4 linked regions of the Kluyveromyces lactis genome follow. The protein of the gene in region 1 purifies or fractionates together with the protein of each later gene. This does not show direct contact. Links are inferred from orthologs where the notes say so. Each region holds a gene or a part of one and is shown in the gene's direction. Other genes may lie near its edges. The genes, in order: STH1, MCD1, YTA7 and SCC2.

Region 1 (4,262 bases):
AGGCATATTTGGAATTAGGACAGGTACCATTTGAGTAGTTCTACTTCCTTCAAATAATGAATATACTTAATTAATATATATGAACCGACAATGAACACTTGAGTCTACTGAGTATTTGATCATATGCTGAGAGAAAAAAACACACCTTTGTATGAGCCGCAATGAAAACTCCGTACCTGTACGTCTTTGTAAATATGAGCTCAATAATCTTCATCTTCGTCTTCTGATTCCTCCTCATCGCTCGCACCAACTGGAGCCAATCCAGGTGTGAGAGCTTTATATCTGTGGTCTTGTATCGATTGTGGTAGCTTCTCCTTGAACTGTTTCTTCTTTTGTCTCCTAGATTTTACCTTCCTTACCTTCTTTGAATCTTCTGAGTTGGCAAGTATTTGTTTCTGTAAATCTAACAGTTCTTCCTTATCGTCATAATCCCAACTTTTCAGGTTGCGAACATTTTTCTTCACCACTTTATCCAAATAGGATTTCTCATGATCCGTAAGAGAATTATCTACTTGATGCTTTCTTAGTACTTGTAGCTTAGCCTTCTGTTCTATATCCTCTTGGACTTCTTTTCTTCCAGATATCTTCTTTCTCAACATTTTCTTCTCCCTCTTTTTGATCCGGTATACATCCTTTTCTTGTACCTCTACTCTTTTCTTCAAGTTCCTATCTATTAGTTGTGCTTTCGAGCCTTTGTCTCGGCTTGTTTTCTTTCTTTCTGCATTAACCGACGCAGAACCCGGCAGTACGCTTTGCAACAATGCGTTCACAGCGTTGGTAGCATGAGCAGCTGCAAGAGATGACATTATAATCAGAGAATTTTAGTTCTTCAAACCTTGATTGTCAATACAGAAGACACTTTTGTAACAGTTCGAAGCACTGTAACTATCTCAATCGGGGAACTTGATAGTTCACTCTCATCACATCTCATCTAATCTCATCTCATCTCATCCATGGCGTATTATCCAAATTTTCATTTTAGGTCATGAAATATTAAACAAGAAAAGAAACAATGGTGCCCACTTTAATGCGAATATTTTGGCACGTGATCGAAGTTGGTTTATTACCCGGTTCTTGTTGTTGTTACCCGTACTTTGGCCCATGGCAATAGTGAATGTCAAAGAAAAAAGTAAACACGATAAATAAAATTGTGAAAAAGAGGATGAATTTGAAAACAGTTTGATTTTATTCTGAATTTAGTTTTGACACGAGAAAAGGACGAACAGAGGTTTGTTTTCAACACGGCAACGGCGGCTAAAAAAATAGACGCACCGAAAGCGAAACAGTAAAGAATTCTAGGGCAATAGTACCTGTTTGTATCGCGTTAGCTTTGTGACAACTCTGAATTTTTTTAGCAGGACTTCAGTTATTGTTTTACCCCCTTTCAGAATAAAAAAGGTTTAAAGCTCACTAGCGGGAAGAGACCTGGATCACGTTAAGAAGTGTGAAATAAAACAACAATGGATCAAGTCGTCGTAACGAATAACGCGGATACAGCGCCTCCTTATCCGCTTCCTATAGTGAATTCTGAGAATGTTGATAATGGGAATTCCGAAACTGAAAACCAGGACGTTAACGGCAATATCGAAGACAACCATGTTGGTGCTGACAAAGGAAGCAACAACAATTTTCGGAACGACAGTGGTAGTGCTATTGGACAGAACCAGATTGCCGCTGTTCTAGAAGAAATGAAGAAGGTGGAAAGAGTAATCTTGCCACTACCTGAAACGAAAGAACAATTAGAAAATTTGATTTATCGTTACAGATACATTTCTCAATATAGAGATCATAATAAGCTTGAAGTTGAGGCTATTGAACAAATTTTCACCCAAATCTCGGATAAACAGGAAGAGTACAAGGAAAGGCTGCTGAGGTTAAGAGAAAACGCAGCCAAAGATATTCAGTGGGACGAAAAGTTGTTGAAGGAGCAAATGGTAAGCTTACAGCTTTTGAGTAAAGATATAAATATACCGGATGGCCTCTTAGAGGATGATGATGATGAATCAGTAAGTTCCGACAGTTCTGATATCTCGGTACAACTGGAGAAGGTTAAACTTTCTGTTGATTTCGACGAAACAAGTGTGCGCTTAGGCCTTCCCGAAGCTTTAAGCAACTTTCGTCTTAAATCTGGAAATGAAGCCTCGCTTGGAGATTGGGAGGTTGAAAAAATAATCTCCACACTCATTGCGAAAAGAATTAAACAACTTGAAAATCTACCCTCTAATTTGGGAACATATTCTTTAAATGATGCGCTTGATTTTGTAACTAAAGATGATATTCCTACCGGCGCAGACGACTTCAAGTTAAGAGCTTTGGTGGAGCTCAAGTCCTTGAAAATGCTAACGAAACAGAAATCTTTGAGAAAGAGGCTGATTGAAAGTGTTGCAGCTAAATCGCATAATATCATTCCATCTCTCCGTGACTCTCCTTATACTTTAGCAGCTCAAAGATCCATTCATGTTAGACCGAAGACCATCGTTCCACAAACTGCTAGATTAGCAGAAGAACTTGAAAGGCAGGAATTGGTAGAAAGCAGGAGAAGAGAAAGAAACTTACGGTTACAAAGGATCAATAATATTGTATCAAGTATCAACGAAAGATTGGAGAATGATACAACACAACGTGATCGCTGTTATCAAATGGGTAGATCTATCGGAAACTTGCATGGTCATTTGGAGAAAGATGAGCAGAGAAGAATGGAAAGAACTGCCAAGCAACGTTTAGCAGCCTTGAAGTCCAATGATGAAGAAGCATATTTGAAATTGTTAGACCAAACCAAAGATACAAGAATTACACATCTATTGAAACAAACTAATTCTTTCTTGGATTCTCTTGCTCAAGCGGTTAGAGTGCAGCAAAATGAGGTACGCATCAAAAGGGGTGAAGAAATTCCTCCAATCACGGATGAAGAAAGAGAAAAAATTGATTATTACGAGGTTTCCCACAGAATTAAGGAAACAGTAGACAAACAGCCAAGCATATTGGTTGGAGGCACGTTGAAAGAGTATCAACTAAAGGGTTTAGAGTGGATGGTGTCTCTATACAATAATCATCTTAACGGTATTCTCGCAGATGAAATGGGTCTAGGTAAAACAATTCAATCCATCTCGTTGATCAGTTATCTTTATGAAATAAAGAACGAGAGGCAACCATTTTTGGTGATTGTCCCTTTATCCACCATCACGAACTGGACTATAGAATTCGAAAAATGGGCACCTTCTCTAAGAACCATTGTGTACAAAGGGAACCCAAACCAACGTAAGGCTTTGCAACATACAATCAAAATGGGAAATTTCGACGTGGTTCTAACTACTTATGAGTACATTATAAAGGATCGTCCACTGTTGGCCAAACACGATTGGGCTCATATGATTATCGATGAAGGTCATAGAATGAAAAACGCTCAATCAAAACTATCTTACACGTTGACACATTACTACAAAACAAAAAATAGGCTAATTTTAACGGGTACTCCATTGCAAAATAATCTACCAGAATTGTGGGCTCTATTAAATTTTGTTTTACCTAAGATCTTTAATTCCTCAAAAACATTTGACGAATGGTTTAATACACCATTCGCGAACACAGGTACTCAAGAAAAGCTAGAAATGACAGAAGAAGAAACGCTTCTAGTTATTAGAAGATTGCACAAAGTTTTACGTCCATTTTTGTTACGTCGTTTGAAGAAGGAAGTCGAAAAAGATTTACCTGACAAAGTTGAGAAGGTTGTGAAATGTAAGCTATCAAGTCTCCAGCAGCAACTATACGAACAAATGTTAAAACATAATGCTTTCTTTATTGGTGCAGGAACAGAAGGTGCAACCAAGGCTGGTATCAAAGGTTTGAACAACAAGGTCATGCAGTTAAGGAAGATATGTAATCATCCATTCGTTTTCGATGAGGTTGAAAATGTTATCAACCCAACGAGAGAGAACAGCTCCATTTTGTATCGTGTTAGTGGTAAATTTGAACTTCTAGACCGAGTTCTTCCAAAATTTAAAGCGTCAGGTCATAGAGTATTGATGTTTTTCCAGATGACTCAAGTTATGGATATCATGGAAGATTTCTTAAGGATGCGAGACCTTAAATATATGAGATTGGATGGTGGTACCAAAGCAGAGGATAGAACTGGAATGTTAAAACTGTTTAATGCACCCGATTCTGAGTACTTCTGCTTTTTACTTTCTACCAGAGCTGGTGGGTTAGGTCTAAATTTGCAGACTGCTGATACGGTCATTATTTTCGATACTGATTGGAATCCT
Region 2 (3,651 bases), about 930 kb from region 1:
TTCTCTCCAGAAAACGTTAGATCTCTGTTGGCTGAAGCTCAAAAGAACGTCTCCTCTGCTGACGAAGTTGCTGCTGCCGAAGCTGCTATCCAACTTGAAGTTTTGGAAGCTTTGCAAGCCGCTTTGAAATAATTGAGATGAACGAAGAATTACAATTGGACCAAGGTATAATACACTTGATACGGATACTCTACTTGGAAGCAATTGTTTTCCCGGTTGATTGTAAACCTGTCTCGGCGTTTGTATTATCCTTCGTCTGCTTTTTTTTCATTATTCTAATTCCTATTATTCCATTGCACAAGCTTACACAACACAACGACGAATACATTTCATGATTTAGCCTAAAGACCCTTTTTTGTTGCTCCGGTCATTGTCCTTTCTTTCCATACAATACTGTAGTGTGAACGTACGAATAAGACTGGGAACTATTGAGAATTAACCTAAAACGACTATTACTAAAATATACAACGAATTAAAACCCAGCGAATTAAAAGAAATCAGAAGAAATAAATACGATAAAACCTAAAAATTCTAAATGATATGGAGGTTGATACAAGTGATGTCTCGATTCCGTTTCAAAAGGGGGTTCTAGTCTTTGTTTTAATGACCAACAAACATAAATCTTTCTTCAATATACTATTCCTTCCTTTCTAACAATATCAAAGAAAACACTGGATCGATTATAATTTGTCTATCCCCGTTAAAAATATTATCAATTAAGAACCGAATTGAAAGACTTAGATTTTATATTTTTTAGCAGAAACGATTTGTGTGTAACTGATGTCTAGTTTTAAGATTCATATTCATATATACCGATTAAACTGACTGCGCATACTGAGAGAGATGATCTGGTTTTGGCATCAACAAGAGTTAGAAAGGCAGGGTAATAAATGGGTATAAGGTCCTCACTTGTTACCCGGATTTTATACCACGAAATCGAAATTTTTCCGGCGGGAAATCTTTTGAGGTCCCAGAAAAAGACATTGTTTTCCCCCAAAAATATTTTCGCGATTTTTCTCCATAACGCGTTTCCGTGATGAGATCTATAACCAGCAATCCTTTAACAAATATCATTGATAAACACTGGATGAGAAGTATGTCTATTCCATCATATTGATTGCACCTTTACCAATAATTTTATCAAATATATATATTACCTATGGAATTTTAATGTCGTGACCTCTGAAAAAAGACACAGTGCTATTTTATTTCATTTTTATTTTGCTAACCATTCCTTATAAGATCAAGTTCTAATCTCGATCTTAAGTTTATATCCATTTGCTATACCATTTGCAACAGGAACCACGAGCCTTATATCACCTAATCCAAAAATAAACAACGTATATGCCACCAAATAGCAATTCACATACTCAGGTGAGATTAAATACAAGCAATGGGCCGTTGGCTCAGATCTGGCTGGCTTCCAATTTGAGTAGCATCAATCGGAACATTGCAAAGACTAATATCGTGGAATCTGTTGAAGAGATTGCCAAAGCTGCAGGTGTTAATCTAGATGATGAATCTGTGGAACCTATCACATTACGTGCTTCCGGTGAGTTACTACATGGTGTTGTAAAAGTTTATTCTCAAAAAGCATCCTATCTGCTTACTGATATCACAGACTTACTGAGTAAAGTGAAATCTATCTTCAAGGGATCGCTGAACAAGAGCGTCACAATTCAGCTAGATACAGTGGCAAAGTTAGATCAGCTTTTATTGCAAGATGCGGTTACAGAACTTGACGTCTTGGAGATGCCCAGTTTGGATTTCTTGAAAGATATCCAAGTGCCAGAAGGTTTTTTGATCGCTGAACGATCAATGGAAAGACAAGTGCAAGGAGCAGCACCTGTAACATCCGCCATTGCAGCACAACAACAAGCATGGGATATGTCCTTAGAAGTTGGAAGGCGATTCCTGGCAGATGAAGATGATGACTTGAATGCTATTGAACATCACGATTCATCTCATTTGAAATTAGATTTTGACCTTGGTGATTCTAATCAAAGCAATAACACTAAATCATGGGGTGAAGGGACTCGTGTTACTGCTAGTGAAGTAAACGCGGATGATGGAGAAAATGAAGGTGATTTGACTATTAGAAATGACAATGACGATGATGATGAATTGCTACCACTTAACGATGATTGGGATTTGGGATTAAACGATGATGATCAGAATATTTCTGGTAATCAGTCTAGCCATGGTAGCGACATGTCTGTAGAGATCGGGAGAAGGGCTGATATTACTCACTCATTGCATGATGATACACTCTTAGACTTTGATCTAGGGCTGCCAAAGGACACAGAACCAGAGCATCAAGAGCAAGCAGAGGCATACATACCACCTAGAGCAGTAAAGAAGAGGGCACCAAGGAATAAAGCCTTTATCAATGTTAAGAAGGTTCTCATAGATGCTGATGCCGAATTAAACGATTCTGAAGTGAAAGGAGGACCATCGGACTCAATTCTTATCGTTTCTGATGAGACTTCGTCCGCTATATCAAAGAAAAAAAGAGCCATCGATGAATTATACTCTGACCTGGACTTCCTTCCTCAAAAGATTATATCTAATTTCTTCAACCATAAAGCTTCAAAGAAGCCTAGAGCTCTGTCACAATCCAGCCAATCTGATGGGTCCGATGTTGATATAGATATCTCTTTGGGTATCGATGGAAGTTTGGTACACAATTCTGATCCATTCGATCACCAACAAATGGGCTTTGATGCAGAATCAGAAGGACCAGTGTTTGCTGATGATGAACCTCCAGTTCTTGCAGCTGATACATCCATGGAAGAAAATGATTACCAAGCCATTCAATCAGACGAATTTGCCTCTCGTGGGTCAATTGAAAAGGAAAAAAGTCAAAAAGTAGAGCTTGCTACCGGTGAAATCGTGTCTAAATCTACAGTGGAAATGGCAACTCTACTGAGAGATGAAATGAGCTCCGGTGAAGCTACTTTTGATAAAATCCTTACTTCGAAGTACCAGGATAACGCGGTAATAACAAAAAGAATGGCCAGTAAAGCATTCTTTGAGTTACTTTCTCTTGCCACCGCAGACTGTATATCATTGAAACAGAAGGAAACATTTGGACAAATCACAATTTTAGGAAAATCAAACTTATATGAGACGTTTGTTACCGCATAGACTTTTAATTTGGATACTTTTATAACGGACATTATGTATAAATAATTAATAATATCTGTTTTTTTAAGTTGGTTTAAATATACATGACGGCAGATCAGTTCAAGTTGTTGTGCTATTCGATTTCTTCATTTGGTTGTTGCTGTTGTTGCTGCTGCTCCAAGTATTCTTGTATTGATAACTGGTTAATGTGTTGTAAAAGCTCCTCATCAGCGAACCTGTTCATTTGGGATATTTCTAGATGTTTACTATCAATTAGTCCTTCGATTGTTTCTACTACATACTCACTTTCTCTATCATGTGGTTGTGGTGGTAGTACATCGAATTCAAACACAGAATGATCTGACCAAATTTCTTCGGGAATAGCAGCCATAACGGATGACTCTTGAGAAAGAATAGCAAACCTTAACAAATTAATTGGAATGTTATTGATGAAGAATGATGTTGGCGCCACGTCGTCATCATCATCGCCATCATTTATATCCTTCACTGCATCAGTGTCAAACG
Region 3 (4,316 bases), on another chromosome or scaffold:
GACTGCTTCGTCATACGACGGAAGAATACCTGATTGTTTAACTGACGCTGCCATTATAGAATGTTGGGTCACGTGCCTAACAGCCAACGGCTCCTTCCAACCTTTCTTCCATGCATCTAGTTAGACATCTGGCTTATGCGTGTCTTATATATCCATGACTCGTCTAGCAGATGAGTGAACCATCATATCCACGCAATAACATGCAAATCCACGGCTCTAAGGTGGAAAAAGGAACCCTAAATGGTGTATAGTAATGGTGGCTTCAAGGGTATAAACCATTGGACTTAATAGCAACGGCCGGTAAATTTGCTGATTCAAAGCCTCGAACGATTTTCGTTACCCGGAAAACACAATGACCGGGTAACACTTCACGTCTTTTCAGTCCAGAAGCCCAATCGCGAAAAGCGATGGGCTTCTGGACGAGCGCAGTAAATATGTGCACATTAACGCATCAAGATAGGCACTGTTTGCCTCTCTATATATGCTCATAGTATTTGATATACACGCAACAATAGCACATAACAATGAGTAGTTGGCTATCGGAGTCACAGCGTATGTTAAACCATGTATGCGTTTACTATTATTTTTGGTTTCCCTTTACTAACATTTGTTATTTGAGATCGGCCAGTAAACTCATGCGAACATAAGGGAAATAGAAAGACGGATTGTTCAATCCGTCTTTCTATCTCACTTTTGTTACAGTACTTGCCAAAATCTTGAAATCCCACTTATCTCCCCAGAATTCGGTGCTGTGTTCACGTTCGGTGGATGTTTGTTCTTCCTTTTTGGTATCTTCACCTTCTTCGATAGAGCACTATTGGCTGTTGGGAACATCTTGTTCCTACTCGGCGTGCTGCTGATGATAGGCCCACACAAGACTCTCAAATTCTTCACTAGACCGACAAAGAGACGTGGGACCTTGTTTCTCGTGTTTGGGATATTCATGATCTTATGTAAGTGGACGTTCCTTGGGTTCATCATCGAATCGTTAGGTATAGTCGGTCTATTCGGCGACTTTTTCGGCGTGATCCTCCAATTGCTGAGGTCCATTCCTATAATCGGACCAGTACTGTCTCACCCTACCATTGCACCAGTCCTAGACCGTATAGCTGGTGTGTCAGTGCTTCCTGTGTGATGTGTGAGTGTGTGTATCTATATATATATGAGCTGTATTCGGGAATGGTTACCCTGTCCAAAATATGTCGATTACCCTACCTGAATATACCTCTAAATAAACAAAACCAAAAAGCTCCCAGAACCAGTTTAAGTTGTGTTCAGAGATTTATAACGATAATATACGGCATTAAACACAGCTTTTAAGGATCAAATTGGCGTTTTGGGCCATTAGACAAGCCAATTGGGTTAGGTTCGATTGTTATTCATTAAATCAGAGACTTTGTGGGGTGAATTTTGTGTGTCTCTGTCGCATTCTTTTTGATTTCTACAGTTCCGAAACTGCAAAATAAGAAAAGCCTTTTAGAAGTTTAGATCAAAGGAATCAAAATGACGCTCCATAGCAAGAGCGGTGACGATGAATCTGGCACTCATACTGAGTTTTACGATGATAATGGGATTGCTCATACCACACCGAGGCTGCTGAAAAAAGTTAACTACGCAGAGATTGAGAATGGTTACGATTATATCGAGGAATCTGATACGAATTCTGGAGGAACAGCCGCCGTTGGTGCTAACTATTCAGATACCGGTACTGGTAGGCGTCGTGGTAGGCGTCCCGGTCAGAGGAACAAGAGGGTTCGTGATGATGACGACGATGATGACGTTTCGTTCCACGAGGAAGATGTAGACGATGATGACGATGACGACGACGATGTTGATGACGGCGATGAGTATATCGACCCAGCAGATGATCGCAAACGGATAGCGAGAAGAAGAGATAAAAATTTCATTGTCAAGGACGATGAGGATGGATCTGATGGGAATGAAGATTATAGTATCAAGGAAGAGGATCTGGATGAAGATGAAGATGATGGAGATGAGGATGAAGAGGATGACGATGGTACTGTGAGACGTGGAAGAAGACCAAAACGGTCTGCAGCAAGAAGTACGCGTAGGGAACAGCCTCCTCGGAAGTTAAGGCCGCATAGAACCAGATCGTCTCGTGTTGTAGATGACGATGAAGACGACGATGATACGGTAGGTAGCGGTCGTCATAGATCGGCAAGTGCACGTACTAGAGAAGCGCTTACACTTGAGGACGAAATTAGAGAATTACAGGAGGACAGTCCTATCAGAGAGAAAAGGTCTTTGAGAGAACGTACAAAACCAGTAAATTACACGATCCCACCACCTTTGTCTGAAAATCAAATTGGTGCTATGGAAGCTACTTCGGTGCCAGGAATACCTCCAGGAACACTTCCATACCAATCATCCGTTTATCAGTCCCCAAGAGGTAAACGTGGTTTACATTCGGGTCAAAGTTTTGGACCTATTAGAAGGTTATTCCCTACCGGTGGTCCATTTGGTGGAAACGATGTTACGGCGATATTTGGTAAAAACGTTCAATTCTACAACTCTAATCCAAACGCTCTAAACGAACAGTCAAACAAATTTTTGGATTCTGATTCATCCGATGACGAAATCTTAGCTTTGGGTATGAAACCGAAACCAAAGGATCCATCAAAACAAAAGAAGAAAAAGAAACCGGAAATTGCAGATTTGGACCCACTTGGTGTCGATATGAACATTAATTTTGATGATGTCGGTGGTCTAGATAACTACATTGACCAATTAAAGGAGATGGTGGCATTGCCATTGTTGTACCCAGAACTTTATCAAAACTTCAATATTACTCCACCTCGTGGTGTCTTGTTCCATGGCCCACCAGGTACAGGTAAGACTTTGATGGCTAGAGCATTGGCCGCAAGTTGCTCAAATGAGAAGAGAAAGATCACTTTCTTCATGAGGAAGGGTGCTGACATTCTTTCCAAATGGGTTGGTGAAGCTGAAAGACAATTAAGGTTATTGTTTGAAGAAGCAAAGAAACATCAACCGGCAATCATTTTCTTTGATGAAATTGATGGGTTGGCTCCAGTTAGATCTTCCAAACAGGAACAAATCCATGCCAGTATCGTGTCGACAATGTTGGCATTGATGGATGGTATGGATAATAGAGGTCAGATTATTATAATCGGTGCTACGAATAGACCAGATGCAGTGGATCCTGCTTTAAGAAGACCAGGTAGATTTGACCGTGAGTTCTATTTCCCTCTACCAGACTTGAAGGCTAGAGATAAAATTTTGCATATTCACACCAAGAAATGGAATCCACCTATTTCAGATCAATTTATTTCAAAGCTAGCCTCCTTAACTAAAGGATACGGTGGTGCTGACTTAAGAGCACTTTGTACAGAAGCATCTTTGATCAGTATCCAAAGAAAGTTTCCACAAATCTATAAAAGTGAAGAAAAGCTAAAGATTGATCCTAAATCAGTTAGAGTCAAGGCTAGAGACTTCATGCTTGCACTAGAAAAGATTGTACCATCATCTGCTAGAGCTACTGGCTCTACAGCGCAGCCTTTACCAAAATATGTTGAACCGCTCCTCGCTCAACAATTTATTAACGTCAAGGATCAGCTCAACTTACTACTACCCAAGCAAAGCACAAAATTGAAATCGGGTTCCTCCATTATTCAATATTACTTAGAAAATGAGGATCTTGAGGATTCTGATGACGAAGAAGGTACTGGATTCGATAAGCATGAATTTTTAAAACTTATCAAGAAATCTCGTGTCTGCAAACCGAAACTTTTGATCACAGGCCCGCCCGGTAACGGGTTACAATATATCGCTTCCGCCACACTACACTTTTTGGAAGATTACAATATTCAAATGCTTGACATTCCTACCTTGGTATCGGAGAGTAGTAGAACGATGGAAGCAGCACTTGTACAAACATTCGCGGAGGCTAAGAAGCGTCAACCCTCTGTAATTTGCATACCAAACTTAGAATTATGGCTCCAAGCCTGTCCCCAAAGTTGTCTCATCACTTTAACCACTCTTTTCAGATCATTGCAGAGTAATGAAAACGTGGTTTTACTAGCTATCGCTGACGGCTTATCTCGCGCTGAAATTGAGGACGGTCCACTTGCAATGTTTTCCTTTGGGCCCAACATAGTGAACATTAACGAACCCTCCCCTCATCAAAGGTTTATGTATTTCAAAACCGTAGCTGATCTTATTAAGATGAAACCGACTCAATACATTGAATCGAGGAAAAGGAAGAAGCCACTTCCAAAATTACCTGTCGTCGAAACCTCACAGGAAATAGATGAGAATGGCAGACTTTTAACAGAAGA
Region 4 (3,998 bases), on another chromosome or scaffold:
CAAACATTCCTTGATTGTTCCAGCCCAATCTTCCTTCAAAACTCGGGTTATATCTTCATTGAAGTTCCCATTTTGGTCTACAGATTCTCCCCATATCATTCTAAAACCGTCTGGAACGGGAATGATTTGCTCATGTATATTAAAACCAATTTTTGTCCGTATATAAGCTGAATGTAATGCGATTTGAAAGTCACTGTCAAAAACCTTCTTACCACCGTATTTCAAGTCATTATAAATTGGCGAATCAAGAACTTGCTGTGTAAGTTTCCGTATCTGATGCTTCTTCCCAGTTACCAACTGTAAAATTAGGTGTTCATTGTCGACACGCTGAAAATATGTGATTGCACCATTCCACTTTATGAGACCTTCTTTACACTCATTCGCAGTCTTAGATTTTCCAACTTTTGCGACATACTTTCTAGTTAGTGAGAATCCTTTATTCCCGCCATACCTTAGATTTCGACTAAATTGTTGTGCTGACTGTTTGTTTACAGCATATACTATTCCACCGGATACTGGTGTGTCAATCCTGTGGATGGGGTAGTACGATGGTTCATATGTACCGTCCTTCAGGATGCTTCCACTAGAGCTTTGAACAATATCCAATAACACTGGGGGATCATAGTCGTGAGTATTGTACCACGTTCGTTTGTCAGGTAATTGAGAAAGGGCCAAGGGTGGCTTATTAAAAATTACGTGGTGCTTGTCACGCCAGAGCTCTTGTACTTTTAAAGGGAATTCCACTTCACAATGTGTAGCCTTAGCGTTTGTCGACTCCGGGGAGACGATTTTAAAGATCTTCACGAAAGGGGGTTGTTTTATGAAGCCTCTACGTAGCATATCAATTAGTACTATGATTTAAGCAATGCAGATGTACAGGAACTAACGGTTTTCTCCTCTCAGCTACATTCATGACTACTTATGCTTCCCTCATCATTCTCATGATATTTTTCTCAAAACTGCAGCAGCCTTTTTCAAATCAAGAAAGCCGAATAGATATATAAATAATTAATGAGACGAATACTAGATCTCTACAGCAATGAACGGTCAAACGATTTCATCAAGTTGAAAGAAGCAACAGCAGATAGTTTACACCCGGAAGCTCTATTTCATCTGCTTTTCTCTGGGCATTATCATCTTCTTCAAATAATACTGCCTTTCCAGTAATATTCTGATTACTGAGCAGTGGCGGCTATGGCGAAAGGGTTTCCAGGCGAAACTGACAATGAGATTCCCAAACGCATCTCTGAAACACTGAAGTACCAGCCAATTAACCACATAGTACCGAAGTCAGGGCTATCTAATTTGCTGAGTTCTTCAATAACCGAAGATATCAGTATTTCATGTAACAGTGCGTTCGGTTCACCCCCATCTGAACATTGGCTATACCCTCACCCTATCGATTTCGACCCATTTAACGAAGGCGACAGGGACCCCATTTTATTCAGGAGACCCAATAATATTACTTTAAGAGATGAGTCTCAAGAAACTGCTCCTGATCTGAAGCTTCTGAAAAATCTTCCACAGCTAGGAATCAGGTGCCTGACTGTTACAAGCCTGGTCGATTCTGCTAGTATTGTTGCGAATGTTGCTGGAAATCAGAACACAGCTACTAAAAAAAGAAGGCTAGAAGCAGGGGAAGACAAGGTATTGCTGAATGAGCTGGATTCCAAACGGATTCAAATTTGTGTACAATCTAATCCGATGAATGACTTGGAAGTTGGAAAACTTTGTCTTGATCATCTTTCGAAATTGTTAGATTCTGTCGGACTCAATTCTGAAGGGAGTGTTAATGAAAACGCTAAATTCTGGAAGCCATTAGGTGATGTTTACGTTGCTACTTCGGAGGCTATAGATGCAATATCGTTGACGATAAATAAAGTTCTAGGATTTCCGATGGTATTTGAGTATATTGATGTTCAATCTCTTAAAAAAATACTGGGTCTTTGCACTAGAAATATCAAAAGAATCCTAGCATATCAATCAGACAATGAATCTGAGTCCTTAGATCTGAATAACCTTACGTTTGGTTGCGCATTTTTAATTCTTGAAGTTATGATGATAGATCTCAAATCCGCAAACCTTCAGTTAGAAGAATATTACAATGCTGTGTTCTCAGCGCTTGATAATGCGCTCGAGAAGTTACATGTTTCGGACAACTCAAGAGGTATTAATGCAGATATTGGAAATATATTCTTATTCATCAATTTATTGGAAAAGTTTGTCGCCTCTCAATCATACTTGGACGAAATGTTTTTGATCAAATCAGTGTGCATTTGCTGTGATATGCTACTACACAGATGCTATCAACACTTAAACACTAATGTGCTTTTATCGCAAGCGGAGCGGATAAAAGACCTTTCTCTTGGAATATTAATATCACTTTTTTCTGAGTATCCATCTCAGCGGCTATTTATTACGGAAGAATTATTATCACACGTGCATGATATAGTAGTCTCAAAATCCACTAAAAAACTGAAATTGGTCGATGAATTTGAGAATGGCTACGCATCGTATTTTACTGTCGCCCTTGTTGCCATGTTCCAGTCAATAAATGCTTTGCCTGATGCTGAGCTATTGTCAGATTTTACGTCTGAATTGCTTGAAAATGTACTGTCCGAGAATAATGCCGCAAGTTTGGAATTGAAAGGACTAATCGATAACGTCACAACAACTTTATTCGAAGGATTGATTACGAATCCTTTCAAATTCAAATCAATTGTGGAGATTTACATCCAAGATTTGCTAACTATGATAGGAAACCCGAAATGGGCGTATTCTCATCATTTATTAGAAGCTTTTTTGCCGAAATTGTTTCAGATATTCAGCCCTACGTATCAAGGAACAGGAAACTTCGAAGTGCTTGCTATTCAACTTGTCGGCCAAATTACTGCCACTTTGACAGACGTTAAACTGAGGGCTGCATCCGAGGAAAGTAGGGATGTAAAAAGGATATTTAATTTGCAAAATGAGTACAAAGAGTGTTTCGATTGGTTGGGTTCGCAGACCAAGACATATTTTTCCGATAGAGCATTGTGGAATGAATCACTTTTTTATATCAGTGAGATGTTAGATCAGAAGGAGATAGACAAAACAGACGCACAGGTAATGAATTTTGTTATACGTATAATAGCAAAAGAAATAAGGGAGACAGAAATAAGCGAGAAAGAAATAAGCGAGAAAGAAATAAATAATGGTATCGATGGTAATGAAAGAGTTCGGTCCCTTTACATGAAAATTGTTTCACTTAGTCCGTTGTTTAACTTTTATGAACCCGCTTTGAGGCTCATTCTTTCGTTATTGGATCAACAAAAAGTAAAACTTAAATCAGGAGCAGTTAAATGTTTGACCCTATTAGTATCAAAGGATCCTCAGATGTTAGATACTCCTTTTGTTCAGGAAACCATAAAAAACAGACTCTATGACTCTTCGGCTTCCGTTAGAGATGCAATTTTGGATCTTCTAGAGCAGGCCACAACCTACATTCAATTCTACCGAGAAATAAACTGTAACTTTGACGATGACAGTATAGCAGTTCGAAAACATGTTATGCGGATGAATGAAAAGATTCTTGATACAAGTTCCGACCTGAAAATAAAGACATTCGTTTTAGAAAAAGTCTTGAGACGAATTGAGGATGAAGAGGATGTTATCGTGGAAAATGCCAGGAAACTATTACTTCATAGACTAATTTTGAGACATAGTGCATCTGACTTGTCCGTAAAACTGCATAGATTTGATTTATCAGAAACCCTCGAGCTATTATCAACACTCATCGGTTATGGTGGCAAGACTGAGGAACTGTTGGAGTTCTTCTTTCATTTTTTCGTATTGAACCCCTCCATTCATAAGAATGAAGATACGAAGTCGATATTTGATGCTTTAAGAAATCTTGTTAATGTACTTATTGAAGAGATTACTGAGAATGCAGCATCTGCAGACGAACTGAGTGAATCGAATGCAAGAAATAGATATGACCTACTTTATTTTTTTGCCAA

What was found.
Region 2: the proteins of STH1 (region 1) and MCD1 purify together in Saccharomyces cerevisiae (affinity purification with western blotting; 4 studies listed by BioGRID, with this or other methods). This does not show direct contact. The link is inferred for Kluyveromyces lactis from reciprocal best matches to the Saccharomyces cerevisiae genes STH1 and MCD1.
Region 3: the proteins of STH1 (region 1) and YTA7 purify together in Saccharomyces cerevisiae (affinity purification with mass spectrometry; 3 studies listed by BioGRID). This does not show direct contact. The link is inferred for Kluyveromyces lactis from reciprocal best matches to the Saccharomyces cerevisiae genes STH1 and YTA7.
Region 4: the proteins of STH1 (region 1) and SCC2 purify together in Saccharomyces cerevisiae (affinity purification with mass spectrometry; 3 studies listed by BioGRID, with this or other methods). This does not show direct contact. The link is inferred for Kluyveromyces lactis from reciprocal best matches to the Saccharomyces cerevisiae genes STH1 and SCC2.

The regions. Positions count from the first base shown.
Region 1 is NC_006042.1:436,882-441,143, reverse strand, and holds the start of STH1 (RSC chromatin remodeling complex ATPase subunit STH1), read left to right. Parts: upstream 1-1,460; coding exon 1,461-4,262. Other genes in the region: MET18 (Met18p), read left to right, coding at 1-38; RRT14 (Rrt14p), read right to left, coding at 201-806. UniProt on the Saccharomyces cerevisiae protein: Catalytic component of the chromatin structure-remodeling complex (RSC), which is involved in transcription regulation and nucleosome positioning. RSC is responsible for the transfer of a histone octamer from a nucleosome core particle to naked DNA.
Region 2 is NC_006042.1:1,366,850-1,370,500, forward strand, and holds MCD1 (kleisin alpha), read left to right. Parts: upstream 1-1,344; coding exon 1,345-3,147; downstream 3,148-3,651. Other genes in the region: ATP16 (F1F0 ATP synthase subunit delta), read left to right, coding at 1-132; RQC1 (Rqc1p), read right to left, coding at 3,260-3,651. UniProt on the Saccharomyces cerevisiae protein: Cleavable component of the cohesin complex involved in chromosome cohesion during cell cycle. The cohesin complex is required for the cohesion of sister chromatids after DNA replication.
Region 3 is NC_006037.1:856,955-861,270, forward strand, and holds the start of YTA7 (chromatin segregase YTA7), read left to right. Parts: upstream 1-1,503; coding exon 1,504-4,316. Other genes in the region: KLLA0_A09779g (uncharacterized protein), read right to left, coding at 1-54; GOT1 (Got1p), read left to right, coding at 525-552, 741-1,135. UniProt on the Saccharomyces cerevisiae protein: Functions as an ATP-dependent nucleosome disassembly factor that helps evict canonical histone H3 from the 5'-end of genes upon their induction.
Region 4 is NC_006040.1:1,532,388-1,536,385, forward strand, and holds the start of SCC2 (cohesin-loading factor complex subunit SCC2), read left to right. Parts: upstream 1-1,194; coding exon 1,195-3,998. Other genes in the region: NVJ3 (Nvj3p), read left to right, coding at 1-14; pseudouridine synthase PUS5, read right to left, coding at 1-840. UniProt on the Saccharomyces cerevisiae protein: Plays a structural role in chromatin and is involved in sister chromatid cohesion. Forms a complex with SCC4 required for the stable association of the cohesin complex with chromatin, which may act by hydrolyzing ATP from SMC1 and SMC3 heads.